Pelodiscus sinensis: one gene and its partners. The protein of the gene in region 1 interacts with the protein of each later gene in a biochemical or structural test. Links are inferred from orthologs where the notes say so. Each region holds a gene or a part of one and is shown in the gene's direction. Other genes may lie near its edges.

Region 1 (7,794 bases):
ACGTAATGGGAAAATACACTGTAGTTGCTTTTTTTAGATGTGATCCAATTCCCACTAACATCAATTAAAAGGCTTCCACCGACTTCAATGGGATTTCCATTAACTTCAGTAGGAGAGTTCCCTTCTTTCTGTGCAGCAGAAAGTGAAGGCGGATGATTACCAGTCAAGAAGGGTAAGGGATAACAAAAGGAGAATAGGCACAGCATATTATGCTGACTCTCAGCTCTGCTTTACTGGTAGTAGCCCTCTCACTGCAACAGTGCAAATGTGGGGCTTCATGGGATTTCAGGGTGACTGATTGGAAGGAGATAATAAAGTTGGGGAGCAGTCACTCTCAGAAGGATTAACACCTGATTTACAACTTCTCCCAGTTTCATACCAGGAGGTAGTGTGTAGCTGCAGACCAGAGAACCAAGAATAGCACAGTGCAGAATCAGCCACAGTTCCAGGTGAGAAGATCTTGGATTTAGTGATAGAGACACAGTGCCAAATGAGGACAAACACAGTGGTGCATTGCATTTCATTAAACTTAGCACAGAGGAAGGGTGGTACCCATCCTGACCCCATATCGTTACCTCCCAGACATTTTAAGTGGTTCTAGTTCAGGGGTTCCAGGATTCCTACCATCTAACTTGGGGTAGTTCTATTCAGCCTACCACTAAACTCACTATTCTGAGTCCTATTCCCCCCCCCCCCCCACCACCACCACCACACACACTACTCCAGGGGGATAGAGTGTACTAAAAAGAGGGACCTCTGTTGGTAAAGACCACAATATCTTCCTCTGTCTCCTGAGGCCATTAGTGAAATCCCAGGACTTTTACTTCATTTCAGCCACACTAGAAACCAGCCACAAGCCACAATGAACTAACATCCTAACCAAATACTATCATTAATGATTAAATCCTATTTCTATTAAACTGCACCTAGAGGATTTGGCAAGGAAAATTAAAGCTTCTTAGGCCTTTGCCAATTTGACCCCATTGGGGAAAAAATTCTCTGTCCCCAAAATAGGTGATTGGTAACCCACAGCATCTGTAAAACAGGTCCGAGTTCTATCAGTCCAGGTCAAGGAGGGTAGAGCTGCAGATCCAGAGCCAGAAGAGGATTTAGATGGCCTTGGCTTTGTTTTAAATTAATGAAAAAGGAGGGCAAGAGATCAAACAGTTCCCTTCCTCCCCAAGCTAGTGAGTGAGTGGCTAGAGTCTTTGACTGGGCAGGATGCCCTGCATCCCCTCATCTTGTAGTCTTCTCTCTTGTTCAACAGGGATTGTCCCAAATGAAGCCAGTGGTCCAAAATCAGTAGGCCTGCTGCCTGGAACAGGATCTCTGCTGATCCTTAGGTTCTGTACCTGTACAAGATTATACACCTAATCCTTCCATGCTAAACTAACATCCTTACCGAGTACTATCATTATGATTAAATCCTAAGAAGCAGCTAATGTATTAATTTCTCCCCCGAGTGAAACATGTAGAATGTTTTGCATCTGTTTTTCTCTTCCACCAGAGATTTGGTGATATCAAATTTCTCTGACTTAGTTTTGCTGGGTCAAAGAGAGGTCAGTTTGTGTGGATGAACGTGCTCATAGGATTGAGCATTTTATTGAAATGATTTAATTGGAACATTCTCATATTGTGATATTGTGCTATGAATTTTCTAAAGGTCTGTGTGAGATGCAAAAATTAGCTCATCATAAACAGAGAAGCCAAAGAAGCAAAATCCCAAGGAGAAATTGACCAAACACTGGCTAAATGCCTAGGACTTGACATTTTTGAGAAAAGTGAGCACAGAGAGCAGCATTAAATCACTATACAATTTTCAACAACACTACAGCTGGTCAAAATACTTTTATTTGTTGTTGTTGAAAATCTCCCTTCATTATTTTTTCAGAAATCACCATCCTCTGCATCCTTTGTTAAGGCAATATTGAAATTATTTTAACCAGCTCTAATTACCAGCAATATCCTGTGACTAGACTACTGAAGTGTTACAGTTTGATAAGCCAAACACATAGACCAGGTACTCATTTTTAATAATATAACAGTGTTTATGTAATGGGACTAAATTGTGCTGTACTTCATTTTGAAGCGTATTTCTGAACATGATATGGTTATTAAGGCATTAACAAGGAGCTCTCCTCAGATACTGCTTAACATTGAAATGGGGTCTCCTATTATCTCTGTATTTCACTTGGCCACTTTGAGTACGTCTAGACTACAAGCCTCTTTCAAAGAGAGCATCTAGACTACAAGCAGATTTTTTGAAAAAGCGAGCCACCTTTTCAAAAGAGTCTAGATGCTCTCTTTCAAAAAAGCACAGTTTGCAGTCCATAGTGCCTTTTTTCGAAAGGGTACTTTCGAAAAAAGGCATTATTCCTCATAAAATGAGGTTTACCGTGATTGAAAAAACTGCCGTGTTCTTTCGATTTACTTTCGAAAGAACGTGGCTACAGTCTAGACACAGGTGAAGTTTTTTCGAAAAAAGGCTACTTTTTTTTTGAAAAAACCCTGTAGTCTAGACACACTCTTTAAATCATTCTGCTCTGGTTGGACACTAACCACAAAACATAGAATCATCTCAACTTCTGACTAACTCTTTCCTTCTTACCTTGTCACTGCTCTTAAATTCATTCTTTTTAATACCTTTCCCCTGATCTGCCTTCCCCGTGAGGAAAGCTCTGGTTATTCTTGCCCTCAGTGAAAATAGTATTTTATTTTTAAATTAGTCACGTGTTTCAACCTATTCCTCCCAGTTGCTAATCTCACCCCCACTCCAGGCCTCAAAATGAGCTCCACACACACTTACGTTCTCAAACTCTAATGGCAATTTAATGAAAGATGTCACAGGTTTTGGTTTTTAAAATGGTGGCCTTCTTAGATATGATCCTTCTTTTCTAAACAGAAGTGTCTAGACAGATCATGGTAGTCTCGATTAACTCTCTGGACTGACAAGTCTGTTCTGATCATAGTAGGATTTCTGGCTGACCATTGGAGTCAGGCAGGTTCCTTTAAAAAAAACAAACACCCGCATCAGTACTCACGCTAATAGAAATTGAATTTAACTTTGAATATGAAAAATACAAAGAAATCAAGAGAGTTACTAATATTCACTGTGACTGCCAGCATCTTAGACATGTACACAGTTAAGAAAGTAATCCAGGAATGGAAACAGAAGATTGCTGACACTATGAATCCTACTGATCAAATTGGTTGATGTCTCTCACTATCTACGATATATTTGAGAGAGTTTATGTGTTGTCTGTCTGTTCAAGAACTACTCCTAAACAGTAAGAATAGTTCCACTAAATTTGATACACACCATCCTTTTAACATAATGTAAAGCAAGGAAAGGATTTGGTTGGGCCAGGAAAATGGGATGTGCCTGAATGGGATTGCTTCTCATGAAATCATACAGAAAAGAGACAGAATCACCAAGCAGGTGAAGGGAGTTGGCTGGGTCCCCCCCTCTCCCCCACACACATTCATGATTTCCCCTACCCTGAACCTCCTACTGCCCAGGTGCCCTTTAAGAAGATGGGGCGGGGGCTGAAACTTCCTCCCACCTCCCCTGCTAATGTACAGAGACATTCCTGGCTGTTCCCCATTATCAGGAAGTGATGGGAAAGTGCAGTTTGCTGCATTCTTCACTCTGGTTAGGGGACAGAGGAACCCAGACCTGGCCTAGCCAGGAGACATGCACCCCTCCCCCAGCTGTGCCTGTTGGTGTTACAGTAGAAGAGGCATTTCTCATCTGGTCCCAAGCTGCTGTGAGAGAGCGCTAGGGTAGTCCTCTTTTGCAAGGTGCAGCCTGAATATTGAACTACTCATCCCCAGCCCTCCCCAGTCCACAAATTGCAGAGAGCAAGTTTGACAGTCCATTTGCAGAGTTAGGAAGGCAGTATGAAGGCTGTCCCTACCAATATGTAAAATACGCAGCCACGTAGGGCACCACAAAATTTGGGGCACCCAAATTCTGTGGTGCCTTAGGTAGCTGGGTGCTGTATATGGGGCAGTACTGAAGTCCGGCAGTCAGCCCCATTCTTTGGCTAGTCCCCGCTGAGGGCTGGACCCTAGGGGTTATGGGGACTGGGACACTCCTCTCCGTTTCACCCCCATCCTGCTCACACTTCACCCCTTCCCATAAATCCCCACCCCTACACCACTCCCCTCTCTGTCTCTTCATGAGTGCTGTGACTGGGAGCCAGGGGAGCAGAATGGGCTGGAGAAGGGCTGCTCCCCTTCTCTCTACTCCAGTGAGTGTGGGGGGCAAATCCAATCCCTGCTCCCGCCTTGCCCTGCCTCTTGAAGCTCTGGGCCTCCCCCCCACAGTTCCTGCCCCCACGCCAGTGAACACAGTACCCCCCTCAGAGGGGCCAACCGCTTTGCATAGTGACCCCCCCTATGGGGGAGGGGTGCACTGAGCACCAAAATTTGCAGGGAGGGGCCTGACTGGCGCATCTTTGCAAGAATGTATTAAAAGACTGGAAGAGTTGGGTGAAAAAGGAGAGAAAGGGAACGTGCTTCCCTCCACCCCACAGTGCAGCTAAATGGGGGGGGGGGGAATGCGAACACAAGCCACGCCCCCATTTAACGGCCACGCCCCCTTCCCCGCCCACACCAGACCCGCTCTCTTCTTCACAGCAGCTCCCAACCTCCACGCACAATTAGCCCCTCCCCTTTCGTTTCGAGCCCGGCACCTCCCATAGCCCCGCCCCCCTCCCCCGTTCCACCCTATTAGAGAGGCCGCGGGCCCCCCGCCTTCCATCAGAGCGCCGCAGCCCCTCCTTTCCCGGAAGCTGCTGTCCGGCTGGCCCCGCCCTTCCCCGGAAGCAGGTTCCGCCCGGGCCCGGCCCCCGGAAGCAGCCCTGTGTGGCGGCTGCTGCTGGCCTCGGCCCCTGCGCGGAGCCAGAGTCTCTCGGGAGCTGGGCGGACGCTTCCCCCGCCCGCTTGAGCCCAGCGCGGAGCCGCCTCGGAGCGCGGCGGCGGGAGGCGGATTCGGGCAGGTGAGTCCGGGCGGCGCTTTGCTGGGCGGTGTTGACCCCGCCCGGGTGCTGGGGGGGCCACGGGCTGCCCCCCCCCCCCTGGTTCTACCCCGCTCTGTGCTGCCCCCGGCTCCCCACACGCGCCAGAGCGCAGGTCCCGGGTGACTTCTCCGCGCTCCGCCCGGCTCGCCGCGGCGGCTCGTCCCGGTCCCAGCCCGCCTGTGGCCGCGGCCGGGGCTCGACGCCTCCCGCAAGGCGGGACCTGGGATCTTCGTTCCCTGAAGGTTAACAGCCTCTCCCCGCCGGCGCCCTGCCCGGGTGACTTCCCGACCGGTGCCGCTGCCCGGCGCTGGGGCTGCCTGTCGGGAAGGCTCATTCATTCCCTTCAGGGGGCCGCTCCCTCCTGCTTCTCCTTTGCCGTCCGGAGCTGGGCGCTTCCTTGCCGGCCTGGGCGTGAATGTGCTGCTGGGCCGCCCGCTGCGGGAGTGGGTGAGACCTCGTCCCTGAAACTCTGATCGTGTTAATTTGGGGGGCCCCAGTGAGCTCGGATGAGGTTGGAAACGAGGCGCCTGAAATCGTGGCTGTTGGCTGTAACGCTAGTCTAGATTTATTAACTCGTCTTTAAAATGGCTTTCGGCCAAGCTTGTCTTTGTACATCAGCCACCTAGGTTACTCAAGTTTTATTGTTCTAGTGTTTAAACAGCGGGCCACACCTCGATTCTAACAGTGGAGAGTACCTATCTTATCCATGGCAGGAATTGTTTTGTTCCAAGTGTACTTCAGATATGCTGTTAATTTGTCTGATCTCTTGTCTTAGTCAGTGACTGAGATCTCTGACATGGAATTCTAGTGTCAAGATCACCAATTTAAACTGCATTCAAGAGCTATATACTGTAAACTTCATTTCCAGTGATACTTTTGTGTGGTGGTGCATGTTATGTTTGCAGTTTTCATTTTGTTTATGTTCTGCATTACTAAAACTACAGGAAGGAATAATGTGCATTAATGAGGCTTTTAAATTCATAAAACTTTACATTTCTTTTTGCTTGATTAGGCTGTTAATCACTTGTATCTATATAATATGTATTTAAGAACCAACTTGCATAACTTCACCCAACATTCTGAATTTTTGTCTATTTGTTTATCCAGAAATGTATCCTATTTACTGGCACATGTTTAGTGATCATATGTGCACAATGTTGAGGGTTCTGTACATTAACACTGAGCACTGACTCTCTTACTGTAATCTGATTTGAATACTGTGATCACCAACGTATGCATTTCTTTTACAAGAGATGTGTGTGTGTAGTATCACTGAAATATAGTGGTGGAAATTCATGGCTTCTGAGTTTAAAAACTACCTCAGAATTCCTCTTTAACTTCAGGAAAATGATCACAGCTGGAGATGCCCTCACTAGAGAATTGGAGAGGCTGTGTCTTACTCAGCAGTCCTTTATAGTGCTCGACATCAGTTGAAATGCTCACATCTGGCTCTGTAAGAACATCTCAATCTAACAGCCAAACATTCTGTTAATATTTCTAGCTCTGTTTCCACAGCAACACTACATCTAAGATGTTAAATTAGGCTGTGTGGGGTTAATCTGGATGGACCTCTTCCCATTTCAACCTTGAGCAGTGAGTTGCTTAACTTAGGAGGAAGAGGGTAGCTGAACAAATGCAGATGCTAGTTTGTTTAGCAATGGCTATGATTAGACTAGTAGCTATAAAAAAAGGTAGATTTCTCCCCCCTTCATCTCATTCTCTTAAGAGGTACTGCAACAAGTTACATGGCTTCTGCAAAAAGTCTTAGTTACAATAGCATGAGGAAATAAAGTGACTCCTAAAATTCCAGAAGGAAGTGCCTAAGTGTAGATTTACTTCCATATTTCATTCTGGTGACCTTGCCTTTTTAAAGGTATCAATTTCCACTATTCAGAATACTTCAGAATTGTGCATTAGTGTTGGCCTGTTATACCCCATTTTTATAGGAATAAATTACTCCCTACTGCTCCTTCTCCCCAAAATACCTTGCAAACAAAGCCAATGGTAGAGTGAAATAACTGGATCATCTGAGCTTGCATTCATAGCTTGTTTTGCTTAATGGAGGAGGATAGATGCTGTTTCAGGGTGCACCAATGCATATCTGAAGAACTGGATGTTTTAACAAGCATGATAATACCCTAGTTAACCTGTCTCTCTAATGAGAGAATCAAAGCTGTTGCTTTGCTTTTTCTTTCTCAAGTGATAACAAATTACTTAGTTGATGAAACTGCTAGAAACTTGACCTCTACAATCAACTGGCAATCTCATGGTATCACTATTCATAAACTCTGCTGGAACAAGGGAAGGAACTCTTCATGGGAACATAAGTACGAGCAGACCCTTCACAACATGGGGGGGGGGAGGAGGGAAAGAAGCAAATTAGTGGAAAGGCAAAATTGGAGCAACTGTTAGACTGAGATGGGTACAGTCCAAATTTCACTTTTGTGTTCATGTTCACTATCATGAAAACTGGTTCTTAACTTAAGTGTTCTGCTTAATGTACTGCACTATAGTATTCATGAGTTTATTCTTAAAACTATGAAAATGTGCCCTCTTACCAAAATAACTGAAATGGAATGTTCCCCTTGTCTTAAATACTTAAATACGTAAAATCATTGGTGCAAATAGCTGTTAAACTGAGGCACAGAAAACTAAAACTGAGGATTAGCATGTTATGCTGTTCTACATGCTAAAAATCACTTAAGGACCTCTTGGGAACTGGAAACTTTATTTCTCATCAGCCTCAGAATTCTAACTGGACTAAAGCCTA
Region 2 (8,013 bases), on another chromosome or scaffold:
AGCTAGATCTTGTGCTTGACCAAAAAACACTCCCCCTTTCTATAGTACTGTACTTTACTAATTGGTTTATTTCACAGACACCCCTCCCCAAAGTTCTTTCCCTATGACGGGAAAGACCCAGATCTCCCTTCTTACTGTTTTCAGTAGAGAGACCTATAGGTATCCTTTCTTCCCTGGCTTCTTCTAGTCCTTCTACCACAACCTGTTCCTTTCTTAGCAGAGATACCTATCTACACCTCCTTCCAGGTCTTATGCTTAAAGGAGAGACTCCCCTAGAAACTTGAGCTCCAACCCAGTCTCCTCTACATCTACACTAAGGAAAAGAGAGATGGTTGTGTACAACCTCCTTTCCTAGCATACCATGAAGCCTACAATGCCCATTCTGAGAACTACATCTCCCAGAATGCCTGTCTTCCGGGCTGGAACAAAAAACAGAACACAGCTGCTCTTGGAGCTCTCTTTAAAGGGTCAGCACACTCTGTTACAACAGTAATACTGGGGGAAATGATCTAGTCTGTCAGTTAGAGTACTGCAGCATATGATTAGACTGATTTATTTATTTCCCGTATTAATGGCTATGCAGGAAAAAGAGCAGGCTTTCTGAGGGCGTGACTAGCACAGAAGAGATTGTCAGCCTTATTGCATTCAGAGCCTCATACAAAGGCAAACTGAAAAAGATTTCCTTAGATCCAGGTTACTGTTTGGAGACAGTAAGAATAAAGATAAAGAGTACAGCCTTCAAAGTTAATTGAACTGTATATTTTAGCAGCTGCATGTTTCTTTAATCATGAAAATATAAACAATTATATTTTCAGGAAGTCTTGATTTTTTACATCATCATCAGAAGTAGACCTGCTAAACCTGTTTAACTGGAAAGAATTGTATCCAGTTGCTGAGGTTTTACTATTGACCACTGTATTCCTACAAACTGAAACATCTCAGAAAATAAGGGAAATTAAAGGAAATTAAAAACCTTGTCCAAGTTCTGTCTGCATGTGTAATGTTGTGTGGCTTAAATATCCTCCTTGGTTAATATGAAAAATTCTTATCAAAAGTAATCCTTTGCTGAGGATGCTGCCATCCATCATCAGGACTTCAGCTTCACTATGAGAAAACACATTTTTACCATTGACAAAATATTCACAAGTAGTCACTCATTTTGGCTATCTTAGTTGTTGGGTGGCCAGTCTGAGACATCTTAGACCTGATTTTCAGACTGGCTGAGCACTCAAGAACTCCTGCTGAAATCAGAAGAAGCCCTCTGAAAGTCAGATGAGTGGAATAAGTCATCCACATTTATCTAGTTTATTGAAATAAATATTAGCTTAAACAATTAAATGACAACTTCCCTTGTTCTTTTATTTTTTCACAAGCCTCTTGCTAGTGAAGACAAATCTCAACTGCTTACTATTTAAATGGAACAGCCATAGGACACAGCAGTGCCAATGCTACAGGAGAAGCATGGTCAAGAAGCAGCTAGATGGATGAGCCACCCCAGCGAAAGTTGACATGCATATGACATTGAGCGGAGTTTGAATATGGAAAAAAAAGAATTACTTAGCAGCGAAGATAAGAAAAACTCTCAGTAAAATTCTACAAACTCAGAGCTTGTAGAAATTTGTTAAATCTACTTGGCACCAGTTAGAACAGTGGTTTTCAAAGTATAGTCTCTGGACCACTAATGGTCCTTGACTGTCTTGCAGGTGGGCCTGGAGCTCACGTCCCCCTCTCCCTTTCTCCACCCCTGCAGCAGAGAACCTGTGCTGATGCTCTAGCCCCGCCCTGCATGGTGAAACACCAGCACTGGCTTCCTGCTGAGGGGAAGCCCGGATCACCTCAGGCTGGATCCAGCTTATGGGGGCAGGAAGTGACTCTGTGCACTGCTACTCCCCCTCCCCCTAGCTGGGGGAATGGCAGTGCAGGAAACCACTCACCTGGAGGCTTTCCCCACAGCTTCCATTGGCCAGAATCCTGGTCAATGGGAATAGAGTAGGTCGGGGCCTGGGAGTGGCAGGAGGAGCAGAGCCAGCTACCTGTCCCCACATCCCCCTAACATACTCCCTTCCTATTGAGACCCCCTCCAGCCTACTCCTGCACCCATTTTGTCATCATGGGTGGTTGGCTGGTGGTTGGCAGAAAGGTATGCATTGAGGAGGGTGGGCCTCAGGCCAAAAAGTTTGAGAACTACTGATCTAGAGCAAAGTTGTAAAAGACCTCGGCCTCACTCCTCTACCTATGATACCTCCTTGCCTCTAACAGGAACAGAAACACAAATATAAATTACCGGGAGGAATAACTAGATTATTTTCATTTTGTATTGCTCATTTTTTGAGGAAGAATGGCTCCTGAGCAAGAGGAGGGTTTTGCACAAAAAGGACTGTCTACACTGCTCTTTTTTGCGCAAAAGCCTCTTGTGCAAAAATGGCTGCTCATTAATTATGCAAATGAAGCACAGTGAGATTCCATGCAGAGCTTCATTTGCATAAGCTTTTCTGCAAGAAGGCTACAGTGTGGACGTAGCCTAAGTGTGCCAGGAGTCCTATGCGAGGAGAGCCCTGTGGTGGGTTATTTGAGGCTGGTGGGATAGAGGGTCAGTCTGTTAGCCAAGTGCCAGTAAGCAAAGCTGAAAACACCATTTTTATTCTATAGGCCAGCTGTTGAATCCAGAGTTCTTCTATATCAGTGTTTTTCAACCTTTTTTTTATAAGTACCCCTTTTAAAAAAATAAGTACCCCCAGTACCTACAGTTTTCATACACACATTTTTTTTCTACCATTGCAACACATTTGTTTAAACAACTTACTTGTAGCCAGACGGGCGATGAAATTTTTGGATGTAAAAAGTACAAAACTAATAAAGCACTGTAAAACTTAGTTGGCCCCCACCAAACCCACCGCATGCAACTATCCTGCAGTTGCATTAACCCAATGTGTGTGACATTAACCCAGGGGCAGAGATCTGGGGGAAGTGTTCCCTCTGAGGCTATGTCTACACTTGCAGCTTCTTGTGCAAGTACAGCCATTCTTGTGCAAGAACCCACAGAGCATTCACACTGCCCGCCTGCTCTTGTGCAAGGAAATTTACAGTACGGCGTGGTAAGAGAGGGCATCTTGCGCAAGAGCTACGCTCTTTTCTAACAGGTGTAAGCTCTCTTGCGCAAGAGGGCAGTGTGGATGCTCGGCAGGGATTTCTTGTGCAAAAAACCCCTATGGCTAAAATGGCCATCAGCGCTTTCTTGCGCAAGAGAGCGACCACACTGCCATAGATATGTTTGTGCAAAAGCACAGCTTGCACATGGCAGTGTGGATGTGTTCTTGCGCAAGACTTCTTGCACAAGAACTCTTGCTCAAGATGTTCTTGTGCAAGAAACTGCCAGTGTAGACATAGCCTAAGAGTTTCTTCCCATGAGGAAAATGAATTTTGTGTTGTGCACCAGTACTGAGTTCATGTGGCGTGTTTGGTTGTGCCATTATGGCACCCAAGTTATTAATAAAATATCTACCTTTCCACTCTGCTGCCATGTCTCCTCCCCTTGCTCCATCAGCTCCCCTGGTGCCTGCTGCCCCCCCCCTCCCAGCTCCTCACCCTCCTCTGCTGTCCTGACTCCTGCCGTTCTCACTGCCCTCAGCCCTCCTCCAACCTGCCCCCCTCCACCAGCCCTTCTCTCTTCCCTGTGCCCACTCCTCCAGTAGCCCCACTCTGACCTTGTGAGCTCCCCCTCCTCATCCCCTCTTCTAACACCTCACTCTACAAACCTGTTCTGCCTCTCTCCTCTGGTGCTGGTCCCTCCCCTGAAGGTGTCTGCCCTTCTGCTTCACCCTAGAATCCCCTGGCACCTGCACCTTCCCTTACTCCTGTACCCTCCTGGTGCCTCCCCCTTCCCTCACTGCCCCTGCCCCGTTTGCCTTCTTTTCCCCTGATGCCCACGTTCCCCTCACCACCCTCTCCCCCCCCCCCCCGTTCCCCTCATGCCCCTGTGCCCTCACACATGACTTGCTCCATCCCGGCCTTCCTCATGCCCACCCCTTCTTTCAAGCCTTATCCCAGCACCTCCCACTCCAGCCCCCAATGTCTTTACCCTCTCCCCTCCCAGCATCACCCTGTCCCCCCTCCCACTGACACCTCCCCTCCTGCCTTTTTCCTCATTGTCTGCACTTGGCCCCCCTGGCTTTTGTCTTTCCTCTACCCTGTCCCTTTAGTGCCTTCCCCTTTCTTCCCCCTCTCCCCTCCCCCTCCGCACAAGCCCCTTCCTCTCCCAGCCCTCCCCCTCCCTCGTCACGCCCGGGCGTCTCCCCGCTCACTGGTTTGAGCACTCTGCGCATGGCAGCAGTAGCCGGGAAGGGGGAGCTCAGTGAAGGTTGCGTATGGCAGGGACGGGAGGGGGCCAGGGACAAGGGAGAGACACTCTGGGGGGGGGGGGAGGGGGGAGCGCCGGGGTCAACTCCAGCTCCAAATATTGGTGGAGCATGGTCACCATGATCCCATGCAACTCGCTGCCCATGGCTAAGGGTACTGGTACCACTGGTTGAAAAACACTGTTCTATATGACACTGCGCATCATTCATCAGGGGATATTTTCAGAGGTGCATAAGGGAGTTAGGGGTCCAGCAAAATCTCACCACATCTATTTAGTTCTCGTGCACTTTTATTTTTCATAGTGCCTAAAGTTCCCACATACCTATGGGCCATTATGGATACTGCATATTCGCCATGAATTTGCCATATGGAATTTACACGGGTTGTATAGATGCAAAAGTTGTAATTTGTATGTAAGCTCTAGACACCTAGGTGCACGTTTTATTCACACACACACACGGCGTGTGGACTCGAGTTCTCCGCACGCACCCAGAGCCGTGCGAGACGGCAGGGCACGAAACAAATCCCCGGCTCCCTACACCCTTCTCGTGCAACCGCGCCTTGAGAAACCAAAAGCCGCTCTGCTCTTAAAAGTTTCCAACTCTTCTTTCAAGGGCCCGCCCGCACCGCTCTGCCCCAGGACACAGTGGGAGCTGTGTGGCTCCGCCCCAGCCTGGCAAGCCTCCCTGGAGTGTGGAGTCAGGCAGCGCTGGGTACCCCCCTCCAATGCACCGACAGCTCTCAAGACACCTGCTCACACACGCAGACCTACCCTGGGCACAGGTAACCCCCAACTCTTTGGCTAGGGGCGAGGGCACACGGTACGCCTGAGTAATTGAGCTAAACTACTTGGGATTCTGTCTGGCACCAAGTTTCTTCTGCAGCCTCTCCTGGGAATTTATTTCAGCTTCTCTTGAGCCCTCGCTAGATTTTTTTTGCAAACTTTTGACGTGTCTTCCCAATGCTGCTTTCTGCCTCATGGAGTTAAACCTGACTTATCAGCCAGGCAGCTTCCAGACTATCCTTTTATGTGATGGCAGATTGCTCGTGGATAAGTAATTTGTAAAAGAAATAATCTCGTTTACTTAAAACGTATTGTAGCTTCATTGCTACTTTCATAATGCTTTTTCTGCTATTCCCACGCTGTACGAGGCTGTGGTTTGGTTACCGTCTAAATCTAATTTGATCAGCATAATTTAAAGAACCAGGAAATACCAGTCCTAATGTTGGAACTTTGCATATATAATATAACTGTATAGGGCTGCCCCCCTCCCTGCCAAATTGAATTGTTCTTCACCAAACATCAAAAACCAAGTCATTATGGCACTGCTCCCCTTTCCATGTGCCATCTATGTTTCCTTCTCCAAAACCACATTGAAAAAATATTTGGCTTGCAGCACTAAACAGTAAGAGAAAAGGAAGTTAAGTAGAAAAATATTATGCAAAATAGATTGCAACTATTGCAATGTTTAAATTAATATGAAGTGGTTGTATGTGCTGTAATGCCTTTGAACAGTTTGGTACACAATTGGGGCAATGGTTTACTGGCTTCATCTTTAAACAGGACGTTGTACTTGCAACCATTTGCAATTTGGTCTTATCATTAGTTCAGAACTACTTGGGTGTGATCTGCAAAGATGATGAGTGTTGGGAGATCTTGTCCAAACTGTTTGTTTTTTCTGCTAAAGATGACAAACTGTTTTTTTCTTGAGAGAGAGAGAGAGAGAGAGAGCGCATTCAGTGGGTATTTGACTTCATAGCCCTTTGAACCCCTCTGCTAACCACCAGAGCAATTTGACCAGGATCTGGTTCCCTTCTTGTATAATCCAAGTAAACAGTGTTAGCACTGCAGACGTTGTAGTGAGCGCATTCTTGATTATTTAATATTTTGTTAGTAGTAGCTGGAATTACAAAGTCAGGAGAAGTTAAATTTCTTTTAATCCTAATAAAAGTAGTTCATGCTGGCCAGGCATGGTGGGAGTATAGGGAGACTTTGCCTCAAATAACCTTACCTATTAGCAGGTGCTGATTCTGCTGTGAAAATTTCAAGTAGGTTTGGCTGGTTTACTGATCCACCTGGTTTATTATCCCACCAGTAAGTAGGAGAGGTGGAATCCACTCTCAAGCACAGAGAGAGTCTTTGGGGACGAAAGAACCTAACATCAACTACGCCTAAATTCTTTGTCAACGGTGGTGCAACATGTCCAACAGCTTGCAGGATTAAGACCTTTAAGACTGAAATGCAATATTTTGCTCTTGGATATGCTCTTGTTACTCCCACTGAGCCAAATGTTGCTCTCAATTACCCCTGTGCAACCTCATCAAGTGAATTCCATGAGTCTTGCATACACATATCTTTGTCCAAGAGTAGAATTGTACCTTACACAGGTTACGATTTATCCGATTCAGTCCTCTCTGGAGGAGAGTAACTACAACTTGACTTCTGTATCCAAAATACCTTTGTATGCTTCTCTGACACTAATATTTTATAAATAAAGAAACTTCTTGGGCCTTTTCATTTTTACGGTTTGTTTGTGTGTTGTGTTGTTGGGTTCGCCATTTCAGTTTTGAGTTTCCAGTTAGAAAGAAGTGATCTATTAAATATGAGAAGGAATTGCAACTAATGGATCGAATAATAAAATACACACAAGTTGCTTTGCAACAATACTTAAGGAATTTAGGAAACAGGACACTTTGCTTTATTAGAAATTGTTCTCGCATGTAGATACAGTATTCTTGTGAATCTGATTTCATTGTATAGCTGTTTACATGTATGCCTTAATTTGTACACATCTTGAGTCAGCTACTTCCTGAAATGCACACCATATAGTTCCTCTTTACCAGTAAAGAGTGATACACTTTCAGGGAAAACCTTTTAAAAAAAAATCTTGTCATATAATAGAATGATGGATAGAGCTCTACATGGATACAAACTTGGTATCCACATCCGTAAAAATGATGTGCAGGTATCTGCAAATTTGCAGTGTTCTAGATATAAAATTTGTATCCGTATTCAGAAAAATCAGCTGCGGATATCTGCATTGACATCTGTGGATATAAAGCAGATAGCCATGGATTTTCAGGGGTCTAACGACTGAGCGTTACGGAAGCTAACAAAGAAGTTTGCTATTTGGCTGTATGGATGCAGTGATTTTAGATTTTTTTTTCATGTCCCCTTGATTTGTTCTTAAGAGATTTAAATCTTACCGCAGTGCAAGTGTGCCCCATCAGTGGGAATTGCACTTACAGGCATGGAGTTCTGTAGTCATAATGCAGGTAAAGTTCCTGTTGACTTTCAGTGGGAGTTTTGCTTGCAGAGGGGCTTCAGTCTGAGACGCATGTATGCTAGCTGAACTGGACTTTATGGGAGTTTGTACAGCAGCATACAACTAGAGTGAATCCCATGCCCCCTCTTTGGACAAAATCTGCTTCCCTTTCTGGGGAATGCTCCTTTTCAAAGTGCTAATATTATATAAGGAGAGCTTAGTAGAATCTTGCAGGTGGCAAGTTAAGCATTTGAGCTTATACCAATACATTTGAGTTTATACCAAGGGCTGAAGCCCTTGAATTTCTGGCTTGGGCTTCCCCATCTGGAGCATCAGGACTCAGGTGGCTCAGGTTTTTGTCCCCCACACATGGGGTCGTGTAGTAGTTTTT
Region 3 (7,029 bases), about 51 Mb from region 1:
GTTTCAATTCTAGCATTAATGTAAAAATGACCTGCAAAGGAGAATATATATTTCGTGTGGTTTGATTTATTTTAGATTCAAGGGAAACTAGGACACTCCAAAGAGACTTAACCACTTCCTCATTTATTGCAAGTCTTCAAGCTGTTAATATAGTCCTTTGTTTTACAAGCCTCAAAAAACAATTACTATACAATTTAAGCCTTAAATACTACAAATTTGTAAAGCAATTAATACAATACAAAACAATACAAAAGCAATTAATAGGAGATTTATTATAATGCAATAATTAAGCCTTGTTCACTTACACTTCATTCACATGCCACCTGCAGGAGGTTCATTGTCCCTTTTACTGCCACACTTAGGGACGCTGTGCACTGCCACAGCTAGTGTGAATGGTCTTTTACTTTTAGTTACAATAAGAAGGACTTGTGGGTCAATCCTGCTTACTACCTCCCATCAATTCTTCTTGCTAAGCCCATTTTATAGCAAAGCAAGACTTGGTCATTCTAATAATATCTACTAATTGATTACATATTGTGTAAGATACCTATTGTGCCTTTATTAGGGGTACATCCTACTACTCAAGATGTTGCAAAAAGTATGTGCTTGGTTAACAGTTCTATGACTGTATCTGCTTTTTCTTATTAGGAATAAAATGTATCAGTACTAGATTAATCCAGTTCTCTTGGCATTATCACACTGAACTATGCTGGAAATGCATGATTGTGCAAAAACATTCCTGCTTCAAAGCCCCAGCCTTACCTGCATGCTACGTGCACCAGACTTGAGACAGGCTTGGGTTTTGCTTTGTTAGAGATCTTTACTTTGAGTAAAGCAGACGCTGTCTTGGTCAAGACAGGGCTGTTTAGGCTCCCCTACACTATACCATACAAAACTCCTGAACCTATGCACTTTTTCACTTCTTTAGGATATATGGAAAATGCCTGAAGATTTTTTTCTTTGTACTTTTAACGGTAAAAATTCAGATCCTGTCTAAATGTGAGTGGACAACTAATTCAACGTTGACCTCATAAAAGCTAAGAGACAGAAAGCTGAAGTATTAAAAAGGGGAAGGATTTTTAGCCAGATTGTTTAAAGCTGTTCTTTTCCTCTTTTAACAGCTATATAATTTAAGTGGGTTACAGTTGGGCTAAAAGGAAGGTTTTGTTAAATATTCAGTAACCTTGGTCCTTCTTTTAAGATGTGAAAATATTCATTCACTAGAGACCGCTCCCAGTAGAAGCCCAGCATTGACTCTTATGAGGTCTTGCCTGCACATACTGGTTTGATTAAAGATACATCATAAATCTACTTACTTAAACTGGTACAAATCTCTGTGTGGACACTTAAATTCATTTTAATCTGGTTCATATTAATTTAACTTATACAGTCAGATTTACTATATAAACCAGGTTTTAAAATCAATTTAAGGGCTTGTCTACATGAGAGAGTTGCAGTGGTTTAACTATTGGTGTGATTTTTTTAAACCAATTTAATTAAATGATTACAGATACTTATATTTTGTTTAGATAAAAATTAATTAAAAGTTTAAACTAAACCACATGATGCCACTCTTAAACCAAACTAAGAGTGTCCACAGCAAAGTTTATACCAGTTTAATGACAGTGGTATAAAAACTGATTTAAATTAAGTTATTGTAACTTTCCCATGTTGACATCGCACTTCCCTACGGAGGCTTGCAATAGCCCATCAGCAATAGTTCATCGGCATGACCTGTCAGCATTTTCATCAACATTCCCACACACCCAGGAGGCAGAGCATGCAGCAAATTGTTGAAACATGGTACCAAATGCGGACGGAAGTGCCAGGGTTGTTGAGATGTGAAGTGATGCACTAAGGCCGTGTTTCTCAAACTGTGCGTCCTGACCTCCCTGGGGGGGGGGTCGTGAGCAACTTAGAGAGGGGTCACGGTATCACAAAGTTTGAGAACATCTGCACTAGGGGCCACTGGGATTAGGGATGTTAGTGGTTAATTGTTTAACCGATAAGCTATTGCTTATTGGTTAACAGTCCCAGTTAACCACAATAACACCCCCCCCCCTCATGCTCTGCATTTAAAACTTGGACTGGCAGGCTGGCTCAATCAGCCTATCAGTCTGAGTTGTAAATGAAGAGCAGGCAGGGGAGCTGTATCAGAGGCAGCAGTGCAGTGTGGTAGGGGCTCCCTGGGTCTGGGAGCGCACTTGGCTGCTGCCTCCATCCTCAGGAGCCATTGCATAATCCTGCAACTGATGTGGTTATGTGATCATTAAATTAAATAATATCTAACATCCGTAGCTGGGACAGGGCTCAGGGTGTCCTGTGCCTCCCAACACCTCTGAAGGGGAAGAGGTGCTCTGGGAGATAGCTGCCCAGAATGCAGTGTGCTGCAAGTGCCATGAGTGTTGCCAGGCTAATGAACTGGCAGCTAACACTGTGGCCACCCAACTGTGGTTTCATTGCTGCACTTTGCAAGCAGCGCTGCAGTTGCCAGCATTTTCCATCTGCCAGGGTAGCCATGGCCTCAAAGGGTGTGTCTAGACTACAGAGTTTTGTTGACAAAAGTGGACTTTTGTCGACGAAACTATACCTGCGTCTCCACTGCTGCTGAGTTCTGTCGACATAACGTCGACAGAACTCTGCAGTTTTGTCAACGGCTGTAAACCTCGTTCTACGAGGAATAACGTCTTTTGTCAACAGAGTTCTGTTGACAGAAGGTATTATTGCATCTACACCGTCATGTCGACAAAGCAGCTTGCTTTGTTGACAGAACTGGATGTAGTCAAGACACTCTTTGTCGACAGAAGCTTTGTCAACAGTATGGGTATGTCTACATTACATGGCTCCGTCAACAGAGCCATGTAGATTACCTATGTAGACATAGGAAAATGAAGCGGCAATTTAAATAATCATCGCTTCATTTAAATTAAAATTGCTGCCGCACTGTGCCAATCAGCTGTTTGTCGGCACAGCTCTGTAGTCTGGACACTCCACGGTCGACATCAAAAGCATTTGTCGACCTCCCCGGTAAACCTCATCCCGCCAGGCATTATTTAAATCGCCACTTCATTTTCCTATGTCTAGAAAGGTAATCTACATGGCTACATCCACATTGGCATGATCTTGTGCAAATACTCTTTAACGCAAGAGTTCTTGCATTAAAGTATTTGCGCAAGAGAGCGTCTACATTGGCATGTGCCTTTGTGCGAGAGATGGCTTTTGCGCAAGAGCATCCATGCCAGTGTAGACGCTCTCTTGCGCAAGAAAGCTCCGATGGCCATTTTAGCTATCGGGCTTTCTTGCGTAAGAAATTCATGCTGCCTGTCTACACTAGCCTCTTGTGCAAGAACAGTTGCGCAAGAGGGCTTATTCCTGAGCGGGAGCATCATAGTTCTTGCACAAGAAGCTCTGATTTCACACATTAGAACGTCAGTGTTCTTGCGCAAGAACTCCTGGCCAGTGTAGACAGGCAGCAAGTTTTTGCGCAAAAACAGCCACTTTGGCGCTAGATCACCCCAATGTGTAGACAGCTGTAGTGTAGACCTATCCTCTCTGTCCACAAAAACCTCTGTTGACAAAAGCCTGTAGTCTAGACCTACCCAAAGTCTTTCTACAACACTTTCCATTAGCCCCGCACCCTACGGGCTGAAGAACGGGACTAAGATGTTTACAAAGTCCAACCACCAGCAAAAACCACCCTCCTGGCTCGCTCAGGGCAGAAGCCCGACTGGAAGCAGAAAACGACTCGTTTGCAGGTTGCAGGCCCTGGGAGCGCTTGGCAGGAGCGGCAAGTCTGTCCCCGGGCGGGCTTCCTCCGCACCTCCTCGGTGCTTTCCTTTCTTTACGAGCTCAACCGGCTCCCTGCCCCGTGCGCGGCGCCAAACCCAGCAGCCCGCCGTGGCCTCGCGCTGCGGCTGAGGGCGAAGGGACCGAACGCGCAGGCACTGGGCGGCCCGGGCTGGAGGCAGCGAGGAAGGAGCTCAGGGGCGGGGCCGGGAGAAGGAAGGCGCGGCCCAAGCGGGAGGGGCGGGGCTGCCGCTCGATTGCTCCGGTTCCGCCTCCCGGGCGATCGATGCGTCCGGACTCCATTGCGGCGGCCTGGCTGTGCGGGAGGCGGAGGCGCTACCTGGAGCGACGCTGCCCAGTGCCGGTTTCAAACAGCGCAGCGGCCGGTGAGTGCTCCCCCCCCCTCCCATCCCGGACACACGCACGTTAGCGCGAGCCGGCTCCTAGTCACTGGCCTCGGGCCGCACCCCCGCCGCGCGCCTCCTGCCCCGGGGTCTCGCTGCCGCCGTTGCTAATAACGATCCGGATCGGGCCGTTGGGATCCGCCCGGTACGCTGCCCCCGCCGGGCGCTGGATGTGCGCGGCAGAGGCCAAGCGCTGCCCCCGCCCCCCAGCCGCACACTGCGGAGGCCCCGCTTGTCTCCGCGCTGGGCCCCGCCGAGCTGCCGCCAGCCACTTCCGTGCCGCGGGGCAGCGCCGGTGGCAGCGGCTCGGCGCCAGCACTGCCCGTGGGGCCGGTGCGGAGGGGCGGTGGATGCTTGAGCCCTGGCTTGGAAACACTGCGCGTGTCTCTGCTGCTGTGGCTGGCCCGTGCGAGCTGAACTGTGCTAGGCTGGCTCTGGACGAGGCGCTCAGTGTTGTAGTTGCTTGGGCTGAAGTCTGAGACCCTCCCAGCTTGCCAGGCCTTACAGCCCAAGCTGTCACGCTAAAGTCCTCTAGAGTGGACCAAATGTCCGTGCTGCAATAGAACAGCTCCTTGGCCTGAGCTCCAGGAGCCTCAGTCAGCTGGCAGGGGCCACCACAGAAGTCTAATTGCAGTGTAGACATACCCACTAAGTCCACAAGCCCCAGGTCTCTCAGATCTGAATTCATAAAGCACTGTACACATACCCATATAGTTGGTCACATAATCACCGATATTTTATGGACTTGGTCACTTAGTCATGTAGAAAGTACCTGCAGCTGAGGCTTCAACCATGCTGTCGTTTTGGGGTGCTTTAAACAGGATCCTGTTCATCTGCTTGTTATCAAATCTGGAAGACCCATATAAAAACATGTGTTTTTCATTTGAATGGAAGCTCTTATTTAAATTATGTCTGTGGCACTGCAGTTATATTCCTCAATGAGGGATAAAATCACTGATAATACAAAGACTTTACAATTTAAAGGCACCATAAATATAGTAAATGGGCCAGTAGTGGTGGCAGTTGCTCTTCATTATAAGGTACAGTAGAAAAGTAACATACTACTTCCAGACTTCATGCAGTGGCATGGGAGCCTGAAAACTTTGAGGGCCCTAGCTTTGAGTCTGCATCAGGGAGCTTGGATGCACTAATAAATTGTAGATCTTGCATGAGTTAGGCTCCCTGGCTAGCTGGATGCCTGGCCATCTGACGACTTATGCTGGGGGAGCTGGGCAGCTCAGCTGGTCCAAGAGTTTGGAAGCCTTGAGGCCCCTGGAGCAGGCTGCATCCAGGCCAGGACCTCCAGCAGCTCCTGATGCAATTCGTGTCAGTTTCATTGCTGTGCCCACCATTGAACAGCAGTGGTGAGAAACAATGTGTAATAGATAAAAATAGTGGTAGCCCTATATATTGAACAAGTGTGTTAATTAGATTAGGGTATAGAGAAATTAAATAGTGATTTGGTGAGCTTATATTCTACTAGTTAAGCAGGAATGTACTTTTTCTTTCTTTAGACGGTTGTGCCCACGAAAACTCATGAAACCATCTACAGTACATGTTTTGTTAGTCTTTAAGTGCTACTAGACTACTTGTAGTTTTTTCTTTCTTCATTACTAATCTTTATTAAAATCCTGTGAAGCTTATAATGTGGTGTCAATTTATGTAAAACAACCTGGATAATAATTTATCCTGAATCTCTGTTTCTGGCAAAAACAGGCATGTAATGCAAAAAGATTGCTACTGCTCAGAGCTACAGTCTCTGAAAGGCTAGCATGTATAAGTATTTTGGCAGTTTTCTTTAAATGTATCTTGTCACAGAATGAGTGACTTAACTTCTGTGCTGCTGCTTCCCTGGCTGTTATATAATAATGATAATGACTGCCTTGAAAAGCACGTTGAGATCTGTTGATAAAAAGTTCTGGGTAAAAGCTAGTTATTATTGTACCAGCCTTTATCCAGGTGCTTGCACTAAAATGTTGGTTTGATCCAATGAACTGGTTTATAGATGAGGAGGTTAGGAAGACTTTTTCTTGAGAATCCCTCTGCTCTTAGGGAAAGGTGAGTTTTTTCTTCCTATAGAAAAGGCTATAGTGCCCACCTTCGATGTAGTTAGTGGATCCCTAGCTATATCTGTTTGGTGGTCCAGAGCTTCAGGCCTTAGCTGACCCACCTCTAAATATACTAGTGGATATGGAAAGAAATCATGTTCATCCACCACTAGTCTGGCCTCTGATCCATCCACACGCTTCCTCTTCATTCTGACCTACTTACTTACTCATCACATACAGTGCACCTGTGGTTTATGGATAGCCTTCCATAGTGTAAACAAAATGGGGGAGAAGAAATGTCTCGTGAGGGTTCCCTGTACATGTGGGAGATGGTCTAGGCCAGAGATTTTAATATCATATGAAGTAAGTGTGATTAAAAGAAAAAAAACCAACCAAACAAACAAATCCTCATGGATAATAGTGCATGTGCATAGTGGTAACTTTTCACATTCCATCCTCCTAACATCAGTGTAGCCAAAGGCACTAGTCTGTGTTTACGTGTACAAAGTATCAGTTGCAAAAATAAAACAGATTTCAAATTAAAGTATAAAAGCAAACTGAAAATTAATCTGGTTGTTTACATTCCTATATCTCAAAACCAGCGGCAAGTCCCCCCACCCTAATTTGATGGAGGAAAACCCACCTGTCTTTTGGGTTCTCTTGCCAAAATTCAGTCTTGGGCACATTTTTTAATCCTAGATTACAAATTCCTGAAATTAGAGGTTTATAATGAAAAGGCTCAGTTTACCTTTAGAATCTTAACCACATCCTAGACTGCATGCATATTAGTT

Evidence for each region.
Region 2: the proteins of RALA (region 1) and PLD1 form a complex in vitro, tested with the Homo sapiens proteins (2 studies listed by BioGRID). The link is inferred for Pelodiscus sinensis from reciprocal best matches to the Homo sapiens genes RALA and PLD1.
Region 3: the proteins of RALA (region 1) and EXOC2 are reported together in a solved structure, tested with the Homo sapiens proteins (2 studies listed by BioGRID, with this or other methods). The link is inferred for Pelodiscus sinensis from reciprocal best matches to the Homo sapiens genes RALA and EXOC2.

The regions. Positions count from the first base shown.
Region 1 is NC_134712.1:166,935,269-166,943,062, reverse strand, and holds the start of RALA (ras-related protein Ral-A), read left to right. Parts: upstream 1-4,774; 5' UTR 4,775-5,003; intron 5,004-7,794. UniProt on the Homo sapiens protein: Multifunctional GTPase involved in a variety of cellular processes including gene expression, cell migration, cell proliferation, oncogenic transformation and membrane trafficking.
Region 2 is NC_134720.1:39,813,305-39,821,317, reverse strand, and holds the start of PLD1 (phospholipase D1), read left to right. Parts: upstream 1-4,999; 5' UTR 5,000-5,139; intron 5,140-8,013. UniProt on the Homo sapiens protein: Function as phospholipase selective for phosphatidylcholine. Implicated as a critical step in numerous cellular pathways, including signal transduction, membrane trafficking, and the regulation of mitosis.
Region 3 is NC_134712.1:115,925,928-115,932,956, reverse strand, and holds the start of EXOC2 (exocyst complex component 2), read left to right. Parts: upstream 1-4,015; 5' UTR 4,016-4,172; intron 4,173-7,029. UniProt on the Homo sapiens protein: Component of the exocyst complex involved in the docking of exocytic vesicles with fusion sites on the plasma membrane.